Caenorhabditis elegans: one gene and its partner. The protein of the gene in region 2 purifies or fractionates together with the protein of the main gene of each other region. This does not show direct contact. Each region holds a gene or a part of one and is shown on either strand. Other genes may lie near its edges.

Region 1 (5,359 bases), on a different chromosome or scaffold from region 2:
TTTTCAGGGTAAAATGTGTTGGAGACATTCAACAAATGGCTCGGAGAAATGTTTCGAATTGTGGGAAAAAAACTGGAGGAAAATTGAGAAAAAAAGAGGGAAAACTGACAGTAGAAAAACAGAATATTGCTCCAATAATGCACATGAAAAATGCAATAATTCTTTGAGTTCGAGTCATTCCAAACATACTTTCATCTTGAGTTGACGGCGAAAACCATCCGGAACTCTTTCTGAAACTTGATTAAAATGTTTTAAACATATGAGAAAATTTGAATAATGGTGTACTGAATCGAGGAATTGTAGTATTGATATTACTGTGATAAATTTTTGATTAACTTAACCAATTATCCAAAAACAAAATATAAATTTCAATCTAATTGAGTTGAATTTTGCAACGGATATCTTTGGCATTTTTTTATGAATGAATACTTTAAAAATTAATACATGGAAAATTTAACAAAATATATTTTCAGATTTTTTTTTGTTTACTTTAAAAAATTACGATTTTTCGAAAACAATTTAGTCATAGTTTTGGCTCAATACCAATTTAATTTGGTTTTTTTTAGAAGTAAGAAGCATTTCGCATGTTTGGAAATTTTAAATGTTCTAAAAAAATATTCAGAACATTAAATAAGAAGTAAGATTCGTAAAAAATCCTTTTTTTGGTTGACTTCGATAATTATAAGTTTCTAAAGCTGAGTAATATCCAATTTTTGACTGTAAATTTTAAAGATATCCTTTTTTGAAATGCAATGATATTTTGTCGTTTTAACACAAAAAGAGTGATAATATTTCCCGGGCTTGCAATTTTGCGCAAAGAATACGGTGTCCGGTCTCGACACAACTAATTTAATTAAATTCAAATAGGTGCGCGCCTTTAAAGAGTACTGTAATTTCAAACTTTCGTTAATGTGAAATTTTCGTCGATTTTTTATAGCTTATTCATATTTTAATTTTTTAAATAAGTATATTTTTACCGAAAAACTATGTAAAGTCGATGAAAATTCAGCGGCAACGAAATTTTTAAACTACAGTACTTTTTAAAGGCTCACATCTATTTTTGTTTTCCAAAAAAACGGCGTGTCGATACCGGCTACCGTATTTTTGTCGCGAAAATCGTAAAATTTCGCTGATAAGTGAACATAGCTTTTGGAAATATTTTTAAAACTTTTTTCGAACTGCCAAAAAAGCGTTGAAAGTTTTTGAGTAATCTTATTATGAAATTTAAGTAATTCAAAACCATTTTGAGTCTATTAAAACGAAAACAATTTTATCCGTTTCTCATCAGTTAAAAATTGAAATATATAATATTTAATTGATATTTGCCTACTTAGGAGTATTTAATTCAAAGAAATCAAGATTTTCAGTTTATTTTTTTTTGTTTTTCTGAACAAAACATACCGATTTCTGGAAGCTGGCAATTGTCCATCTCCAGAATCATCTCCAACTAATAACTGCTGACTATCGGTTGTTTCGCTTCGGGAAAGTAGGGAAAATCCTCTGAAACTTCAAACTTTATACATTTCTTCTAAGTGAAATTTGTTACCCAATAGACGTTGGAAGCTTGTTGCGAAGTGAATCAAATGAAGAAAATGAAGCTGAACTGCTGATACCACTTCCTTTCTTCTTCTGATCATTTATGAACTGCTCTAGAGCAGACATGCCCTTTAAATTGTTGTTGTAAAACATTTATTGACATCGTTATCATAGAAACCTTTCTGGCAGAATACCAATTTTCAACGAGGGTGAATTGCGATTTTAAAAATGAATGATTTATTGGAGTTTAAGAAACTACATACACAAAAAGAAAACTTTTAAACTAAAAAAAAAGAAATCGGCTCGAGATTTGAAACAGATAATTCTAATGATGACCATCCCATGAGGTGGTTCCGTGAGTCTTGTATTGGTAAGCTTCTTCAACGAAAATCAAGGCAGCTGTGAATGCAACTCCAGCTTTCCATCCAGGAAGAATCAACTGAAATTTATTAAATAATTTTAAAAAATTCCCTAAATACATTAATATAATTTTTGGAAAATCGGCTTGCTCGGAAATTTTCCAAACAAGAGCACATTTATAGGATACAATCCATAAAAATTTTTTAATATTATGTTGGTATTATATTAATAATATTTAATTCATCTCGAAGAAAACACGAACCTTCTTGAAATGAGCCCATTGTCCAACAACGTGTGGATACTTTCGATCGTACAAGTAGACGTAGTTTCTGAAAGAAAAATCAATAATATATTTATTAATATTATCGATAAAAAACCGACCTGATCCATGGATCCTTCAATCCGATTTGAGCGAGTCGTTTTTCATGCTGCGCCAACTGTGGAAAATCGCGAAAATTGCTGTAGATTGAGTAGTTTGGGATCTTAAACGGCTCGTGATGTCCTCCACCCATTCTGGAATTAAAATAATTGAAAAAAAATGTTTTAGAAACCTGTATTATGAAAATAAATGAAGAGAACGATAAAATCAGAAAGAAATGCCAGCCGAGTTTGTGTAGATTTACGCGGTGTGTAAGCGTGCGGCAGTTGCGTTTTCCGTCAGAGCGCAACTGCGGCACACTTTTCTCAATCAATTGTCAGGAGATTTTGGCTTGTTCCAACGCACCACTTTTGTTTTGGCTGTATTTTCAGATTCTCAACATTTTTTCTGCTTTTTTAATAAAGGAAAACTTTAACCATGTCGAAACGTAATCAAAAAGTGAGTTTTTATTCGGAAAAATCAATATTAACTAGAAAAGAACGATGTTTTAATTCAAATTTCAGGGCGTATCTACGGAAGATGCCGTAAAAATGACGAAGGAGCAAGAAGACATTGCCAAATACATCAGATTCAATTGTCCGACAGCCACGACCATGTTTGAAGGAAACGAAGTTCATTATTTCAGTGGTATGTACAAATTTCAATTGTTTATATTAATATCGCATATATTTTCAGGAAATAAAGCTGTCGATACTCTTTGGGAATCCAAGTACGGAAATAAAGCAAAGAAAGATGCAATGTTTAAAACAAGGTGGGCATTCTGTAGAAATTACGTAAATTTAAATAGATTCTAAATTTTCAGAGATGATTGCTTCCATTATATTTGCGAACTCAACTCGAAACAATTATTCTTCCGTGCAAAAAAATTAGTAGCAAAGAAAAAAGAGAATAAAGATAAAGGAAACGATTCTTCTGGTAATCATAAAACTTAAAAAATATCTTAAAACACGTTTTTTTCAGCTGAAGTTACCAAATCTCCAAAAGGTGTAGTTGAAAAGAGAAATAAAAAAGCCAAAGAAGAAGAAACAGCAACCGAAGCTGAAGGTGATGAGAAAGAAGTGAAAAAAGACGAAAAGAAAGACGAAGAAAAAAAGAAAAAGAAGGTGAAGCTTCTTGTACATGAAGTTCAAGCATTCGTCGATGACAAAGATGTCTACGTTTGGGTATTCGATCCAACTCCTCTCATGAAAAAGATTATTGGAGTACTTATGCGTAAGTTTTCCCTTTTTGATTTGTTATTTCCTGCTTTAGAAATGATTCAATGTGTAAAATTAAAATCCAATTAATATATTTCAGTCGTCGGTACAATTGTCGGATGCTTGTTCCCTCTATGGCCTGTATGGCTTCGCCAAGGAGTTTATTACGTATCAATTACTGGAATTGGATGTTTTGCAGCTATCATTGTCACTGCTATACGTGAGTTGTTTCAACAATAATATTCATTTTTCGATTATTTTCAGTCCGTACTATTCTTTTCGGAATTATCTACGCTGTTACTTTCGGAAAACACAAACTCTGGGTTCTGCCGAACTTGACTGAAGACTGTGGAGTTCTTGAATCATTCCAACCATGGTATACTTATGAGTATGTTGGTGATGAGAAGAAAGAAGCTAAGAAAGATAAGAAAGATAAAAAGTCGAAAAAAGAAAAGGATTCTGATGCAGAAGAGGAGGAGCAAGACCACATTGCTGCTGAACAGGAGCAAAAAGAGGAAGAAGACGATGATGCTGAAAAAAATAGTCAGGCATCAACTGATGATAATTATGAAAAAATTGAAGACGAGGTAATCTGATAAGTGTTTCAATTTAAATAATTATAATTTTGAAATTTAGGAAATCTCTGCTCCACCATCACCAAGTGACGATGCTCCTCGAAAACGTCGTCCAGCTAAAGTCTAGAAATTTAGTTTATCCTGAAATTTTTCCATTCCACATTTCTGCATTTATGAAAACTTGTCCTGAAAATCTATTGCATTACCCTCATCCTGTCGGTTTCGTCACATTTTAAATACTATTTTTCGTCCCATTCTTCCATACTGTGATTACCCTCTTGGCTAGTTTCTTCTTTCTCAGTCACTCTTCATTGTTCTTGCATAACTAAAATCTGAATGTTTCCGTTTCGGTCCACTATTGGACATATAATAAATTGGTCTATACAAAAGTCAAACAAGATAATTTCTTCATCAAACTTGGCTCATATAACAATAGAAAATTGAATAACTTGAAACATGCCAAAATGAATGTAGAAAATAATGATATAAATATGTGGAGATGGGGGGAGAAAGAGGAAGTACGACCCGTGTTGATTAACACAATTCCGAATCGGACTGATGGAACAAGAAAAGGGAGATAAATGTGAAAAGATGACCATCACAGCACATCAAAAAGACGTGGTTAAAGCATGAATTGTCTATAGAGTGTTCGTAGAATGGAATAACAAACTATTGAGGCCGATTCTGCTGCAACGCTGGCCATTGGGATGCAGACATCATTGGATGTGGTCCAAGAATTCCAGCGCCAGTGTTTGGGGATCCATTGTTTGCGTGTTGTTCTCGAATCGCATTCACATTACGTGGTGGGCATCTGCAAAAAGAATGTTAACAATATTTTAAAATGAGCCAAGTAATTGAAACTCACCCAAATGGAATTGGATTTTGACTCATCGGAGGTTGCTGTAGATTTGGTTGATAATTGTTCTTTTGCATATCATTTCTATTCTGTCCGAATTTTCCTGATTTGTTCTGCTGCTGCTGTGGCTGATGCTGCTGTTTTCTACCATTATTCGGATTGTTCTGGTTGGAATTTCCGTTTTGGTAGAACTGACCATTCTGAGGCTGTGACGAATATGATCGCTGCTGACCTTGCTGCTGCATATTCCTATTCTGATAGTTTTGACCATTGTTGGTCATACATCTATTCTGCATTTGATTCATCAACGGCGGGGGCTTTGCTGTCGGCCCACTGTTGCATGGCATCTGATACATCATCGGCTGTCGATTCTGTCCACGACCAGCACCATTCTGCTGTGGATAACTATTCACCTGATTTCTTTGGTTCTGTTGATTCATCACTTGGCCATTTATAA
Region 2 (5,874 bases):
ACTTCCCGGGAGAAAATGGAACGGGAGATCGAGATGTTCTATACTTCACTTTTCAGAAGTAGAAAAACACCTCCTCCACCTCAACTACCAACTCCACCTCCCATCATGGCGGAACCACTTCCACCATTTCTTTTTGAAGAAATACGCGCTGCGATCAACTCATTTCCAAATGGAAAAGCAGCTGGAAGTGACAAAATCACCGCAGATTTCTTGAAATCTTGTGGCGACAACGTCATCCGTCTGATCACCGGAAGATTCAATCGGTATCTAGAAAGCGGGAATATCCCCAAGGACTGGAAAACTTCAAAAACCACCCTGATCTTTAAGAAAGGGGATCGTGAAAGTCTGGAGAATTACCGTCCGATATGCTTGCTGCCCGTATTATATAAAACATTCACTAAATGTGTGTTGAATAGAATACGAAAAACACTCGAAGAAGCTCAACCCGTTGAACAAGCCGGATTCAGGAGATCTTTCTCAACAATTGATCACATCCACTCAGTCCAACGCTTGCTCGAAGTGGGAAGAGAGTACCAGATCCCACTGACACTTGTTTTTATAGACTTTCAAAAAGACTTCGACAGTGTCGAACCACAAGATGTCTGGGATAGTCTTCAGCAGCAAGGAGTGCAAAGGGGATATATCAACCTCCTCCAAGAATGCTACACCGATTGCTCGACCACCTTCACGCCGTTCCATAAAAACGTAACTGTCCCGGTCACACGAGGAGTCAGACAAGGTGACCCAATATCGCCAAACCTCTTCTCTGCGTGTCTTGAACATGTTTTCAGACAACTCAACTGGAAACACTTCAAAGGAGATGAACGATACGAAACTGAAGGAATACGTGTGAACGGTCAGAATCTCACCAACCTCCGTTTTGCAGACGACATTGTCCTCGTGGCTCATAATCCGCGAACGGTAAGTCAAATGCTTACGGAACTGGTGGAAAAGTGTAGTAGTGTTGGTCTAAAAATCAACACAGGGAAAACCAAAGTCCTTCGGAACAGGTTTTCCTATAAGAGGAAAGTTGAGATCCGATGCCCAAACACCACCAACATCATCATTGATGATGTCAACGAATACATCTACCTCGGGCGCCAAATAAACGACAGTAACAATTTGTTAGCTGAGCTTCATAGAAGACGAAGAGCTGCGTGGGCAGCTTTTACCAACATCAAAAGCACCATGGACCAGATCACCTGCCCACGCCTCCGTGCAAATCTCTTCGACTCTACGGTTCTCCCAGCCCTGACCTACGGCTCTGAAGCTTGGACTTTCACAAAAGAGCTAGCGGAAAGAGTCAGAGTAAAAGTTCGAAAAAAGTCAAAACTCAGAGATCCACTAATACACATAAAAAAGAGGAAACTTGGATGGGCTGGACACGTGGCGAGACGAACGGATGGCCGATGGATAACTTTGATGAACGATTGGTGCCCCGAGACGAGAAACGACCCGTTGGACGCCCACCGATGAGATGGAATGACTCTTTAAGAAAAGAAGTCACTACGCGAGACGCCTTCGGGCAAGTCAAACAACTATGGTCCACCCAAGCAAAGGACCGAAAAGCTTGGAAAGCTGTGATCCGCGCCGCAGGCGAAGAACGGATCGACTAAGTATCCTAAGTATCATAACCAAAAAACTCACTTTTCCTATATTCTCGAAGCTTCTCATTAAAATCCTTCAGCATCCGATCAATATATTTCCGCTTTGCGTAAAACTTCATCCAAACTGTTCTGAAACAAAATTCTGAATTTTAGTACTTTTGTAGAACATACACATCATCTCCCGGTTCTTCTATGATAAGCGGGACCTCCACTATGCGAGAACAAAATCTACGACTCAACGTTTTGCATTTGATTTTTCGAAATGGAATTAGATTCACCGCTATAAGCTTTTCATCCACTTCCTTAACAATATTAACAGATGATTTTTCGAATCGAATATTAGAGTCCTCGTATTTGGCAGTAGTGATAACGTTTGGTCCAACAAAAGTGATGTCAATAATTGATATATATTCAGACATCTATTAAGCAAATAAGATGAAAAAAGGGTGAATAACACAATGCAACACCCTGTCAAGGCAAAGATGGATCAATAAGATTATGCTCAATATTGTAATTATAGACTGTACCACGGGGCCAGCTGTTCTTCTATAACAGGGATTACATTTGTAATGCATAGGTGCAGGCTAGGAAAAAATCATAGCCGTGACCAAATTCTGGTTTGCGGTAGAGGTGTTGAAAGTGCAAAGTTCGTTTTGTTATCTACAACTTTACGCGATCATTTTATATGTCTTCAATGAGAGAGCACATTGAGTTTCTGTAGGCCGGCCTTAAGGCAGGTGGCTAGATCGGAGGTGTTAATATGGAAAGCCATAATTATGGGTTACAACATAAAATTTCAGTATCCGTGTAAGCAAGAAATTTGGGAAATGAACATAGACTGAAAATATGTAAAATATTGGTAGAATGACGGGTTTTTTTTTGAAATATCGGAAAACGTGGAAAATCAAGTTTTTGTGTGGATAATTTGAGTAATTGGGTATCGTAAGGCCCATATAAAACTTGGCGACCTTGTGCAGGAAACTCATTGAATTAGGTTATGTAGACCGCAGGCCCAGACCAGTCTTTTTGCACGAACTTACTCAAAACTCCCCACGACCCAATTCACAGTAACTCCAATTTCCAGAGGAAACACTTCATTCAAAACTAACACAAAAACCAGTAAAATCAATTTAAATTCTCATTCTTTCATCAGAAGACGCTTTGAAACATTATCCCAAACAGGTTGCACAGTAGCAACAAGCTTTCTCTTGCACTTGGTCTTCACTGAACTCCAAAAGGAGATTTTTTGATCTTGAGCCCTTGCGATTTTGGTTCCTGTGCGAAGACTTTCATACCAAGACCTAGTAGAATTCTTCACCTTCTGGATGGTAGAGGTGACATGCCAATTCTTATCACGCAGGACGTGGTAGTAGCCGATGAGAATGCTCCAGGTGTTCTTGCAGGTGTCCTCACTTGACACCGTGCTGGAAATTAATTGATTATTAAATATTGCAGTATAGACTGAGGTGAAACACCTAAGACCCGGAAATTCGGACGCGCTTTTATAGTCCGTAATCGGTCCAACGCTCACTCAGTGTGCTCTCCCGATCGATAATCTGACGTTTCACGAAGACAGTCGTATTAATATAATTTTGATCTACCTGTAAATATTGATCTGCCCTTTCTTGTTTGTTCGTAGTTTGCACTCCCTCTCTTTCCCGCGTCTTTCCCCCTTTCCAGTTTAGCCCTATAAAAGGAGATGATTCGTTCATCTTCTCTTCTTATTTTTTACTTTTACGTCTTGGGCATTGTGTGCCGTTTACCTTCTGCTACTCTTTGCCCCTTATTGCTCTTCTGTATCAAATTAATATTCACACTCACTCATTATTCTCTTTACAGTTATGTCGTTTCCAATCCTCTTGTTGCCCCCGAAAGCTCTGCAAAATGTTCTGCGAAACATGGAGAGTATGGATTTGTAAGTTTTTCCCCTTTTAAAATTGTTTATTAATTAAATATTTACAGCGTCTTCTTCTCATTTGCATCGAAAAAGTGCTTGGATCTCGCAGTTTCCCAGAACATCAAAATATCGCATCTACATTTGACGTCTGAACGAATTGATCACATCGAGATTGCGGCAGTATTTGAAGACAATACAAGTGCAGGATTAATTCCTTGGCGTGAAGCAAACCAGCCGGTATTGCTACCAATATTGGGAATTAGGTACCCAGACGGACAATATATGCAAAGCTTAGATATGAGGAGGACTGTTCGGTGGGTTGGACATAAAGCGCTCATTGAGCACTTCATCGTGTTATTCCATCGATCGAAAATCGACAGGATTAGTCTTCGTAGAGCTGTGTTGGATTCCGAACAGCTCGCCAATATGCACATACCGATTGGAGAGTTCAGATTGTGCACTGATGGTCTTCTTTACGATGAGGTTATTCGGAGTATTTCAATTCTCAAATCTGAAAAGCTACACATCACATGCAACCATAACAGTTTCGAAGACCGCCAGATGCACGAGCTACTTGGAAGAAATCTTACTGGTGTGGAGTTCAGTAAAATGGAAAAATCTTCGTTATGGATGACTAATGCAACACATATCAGAACACTGGTATGTATCAAATCACATTTGTTGAATGAATTCCTGAAGCACTGGATCCAAGGATCAAATCCCAGAATGAAATATCTACAGACTTCCGTTCAACTGGAGATGGAAGAGTGCAAGTCAAAGATATTTCAAGGGATAAATGTGTCTATTGAGGAGGATGCGATAATGATTAAAAGTCTTCGAGGAACACTTGCGAGGATCACTTTGAAGGTGGTCAGGCAGGAAGTTTCGATTCGAATGGTTGTTCAAACTACTCCATTTTAATTTTATTTACTCGTTTCTGTGATTCTTCTATGATGTTCTTTGTTAAATGAATGTTTTTTTTTTAAATTTCCATAAGCTTAGTTATTACCGTGTTCAAGACATCTTCTACAGAAAAACATCTGATTTGAAAATGTAAGGTGAAAGTTTACATAGGACACCCCTTGTCGAATCTTCCATTAATAATCGCCCAACTTCTATAGGTCACCCCCAATGTTTCGTTTGCCTGCTCCGGGGTTCAAGCTTTTGATAGGGTTAGCTCATAATTCGAATAAATTTCCAGGTAGCCTATTCTAAGTTGGCATATTGTTTTTTTCTAGCTTAAAGGGCTTGTACTTAGCTAGTTTTTTGTGATATAGGTTCTTTTTCAAATCACAAAAAATGCTTGGTAAGTAAATTTTTTTATTCCCTTCCTTCCCCGTGACCTGGACCATGTGTGCACCTGTCATCTTATCGCTAGGAAAAGACCCCTTCTAGCTCATTTCCCCTCTCATGGCTCTCCCAATTCTTCGTCTTCCCCGAAAATGCCTACGTCTCGCAGCTCTGCACATGAAATTTATCGATTTGTAAGTTGCATTTTTCTTGGATTTTCTTTTTTGTTGAGTTTTAAAAACTTAAAAACCGTATTTTTTGTAGAATACGCTTCTCATTCACCTGTGAGACTGCAAAAAATCTCGCGGAAACTTTCAACTTTCCGGTGACCGGAATTCGAATGGCTATCAGAGCAAATTTCCGTCTTGATGTTATCTATGAAGGGGAAATGTATACATTTGCAACTGAGAAGTGGCTGGAAGAACAGGATCTGGAACAAGTTTACATTTCTCGACGGCAAATCGTGATTTTCCCGGAAGAATTTGGCATCAGAAATTACATTGATCACCTGCAAATTGTGCTGAAATATCCTAAGATTACTGAGCTGTTCATTGCAAGCTTCGATCACGATTCAGAGCAGTTTTGTAAGGAGTTTGAAGGCTTGAAGTTCAGAACCTTAAGTTTTGGATCCAACGATCCACTGTCCTCAATGCGCACCGCAATCAGTCTATCCCCTCAAAGTGATATTATCCAGCTCGAAGGTGAAGATATGTCATCTGCGAAGTCTCTTCTTCTACAGAACACCGATGAAGTCTACATAACATCCTCACCATTCACCTTTACCCTCAATGACCTACTACTTTGCAATAGCCGGAGAGTGGTTGTGCGCGCGAGATGGGACCTGAAGGACCTGAACACGTTCCTGAAGCACTGGGCAGCAGGGGTAAGGAGATTGGAAAAGCTAGTTGTTGGGCATCAGAATCTACCGAGAACTTTGAATCAGCGGATGGCTAGCTTGTTCCAAGGGATCAGTCATGAGGTTTTGCCGAAGGATCGTGTGACAAGGCATTTGGATGGTGGAGAGGAAGTGATGTTCAAGGGAGGAACGATTATTAGGAGAAACGATGGAATTGAGGCAAT

Evidence for each region.
Region 1: the proteins of fbxb-67 (region 2) and ndub-3 fractionate together in Caenorhabditis elegans (co-fractionation; one large-scale study listed by BioGRID). This does not show direct contact.

The regions. Positions count from the first base shown.
Region 1 is NC_003280.10:8,962,482-8,967,840, forward strand, and holds ndub-3 (NADH dehydrogenase [ubiquinone] 1 beta subcomplex subunit 3), read right to left. Parts: upstream 2,410-5,359; 5' UTR 2,409-2,409; coding exon 2,278-2,408; intron 2,226-2,277; coding exon 2,159-2,225; intron 1,976-2,158; coding exon 1,862-1,975; 3' UTR 1,761-1,861; downstream 1-1,760. Other genes in the region: sftd-3 (Vesicle transport protein), read right to left, coding at 110-230, 1,402-1,500, 1,547-1,662; sec-62 (Translocation protein SEC62), read left to right, coding at 2,693-2,713, 2,779-2,902, 2,951-3,026, 3,078-3,190, 3,236-3,487, 3,572-3,691, 3,736-4,058, 4,108-4,173; szy-20 (SUZ domain-containing protein), read right to left, coding at 4,716-4,857, 4,912-5,359.
Region 2 is NC_003279.8:14,293,841-14,299,714, forward strand, and holds fbxb-67 (F-box domain-containing protein), read left to right. Parts: upstream 1-3,446; 5' UTR 3,447-3,448; coding exon 3,449-3,522; intron 3,523-3,569; coding exon 3,570-4,425; 3' UTR 4,426-4,486; downstream 4,487-5,874. Other genes in the region: fbxa-103 (F-box domain-containing protein), read right to left, coding at 1,648-1,736, 1,779-2,026; fbxb-8 (F-box associated domain-containing protein), read left to right, coding at 4,915-4,988, 5,059-5,874.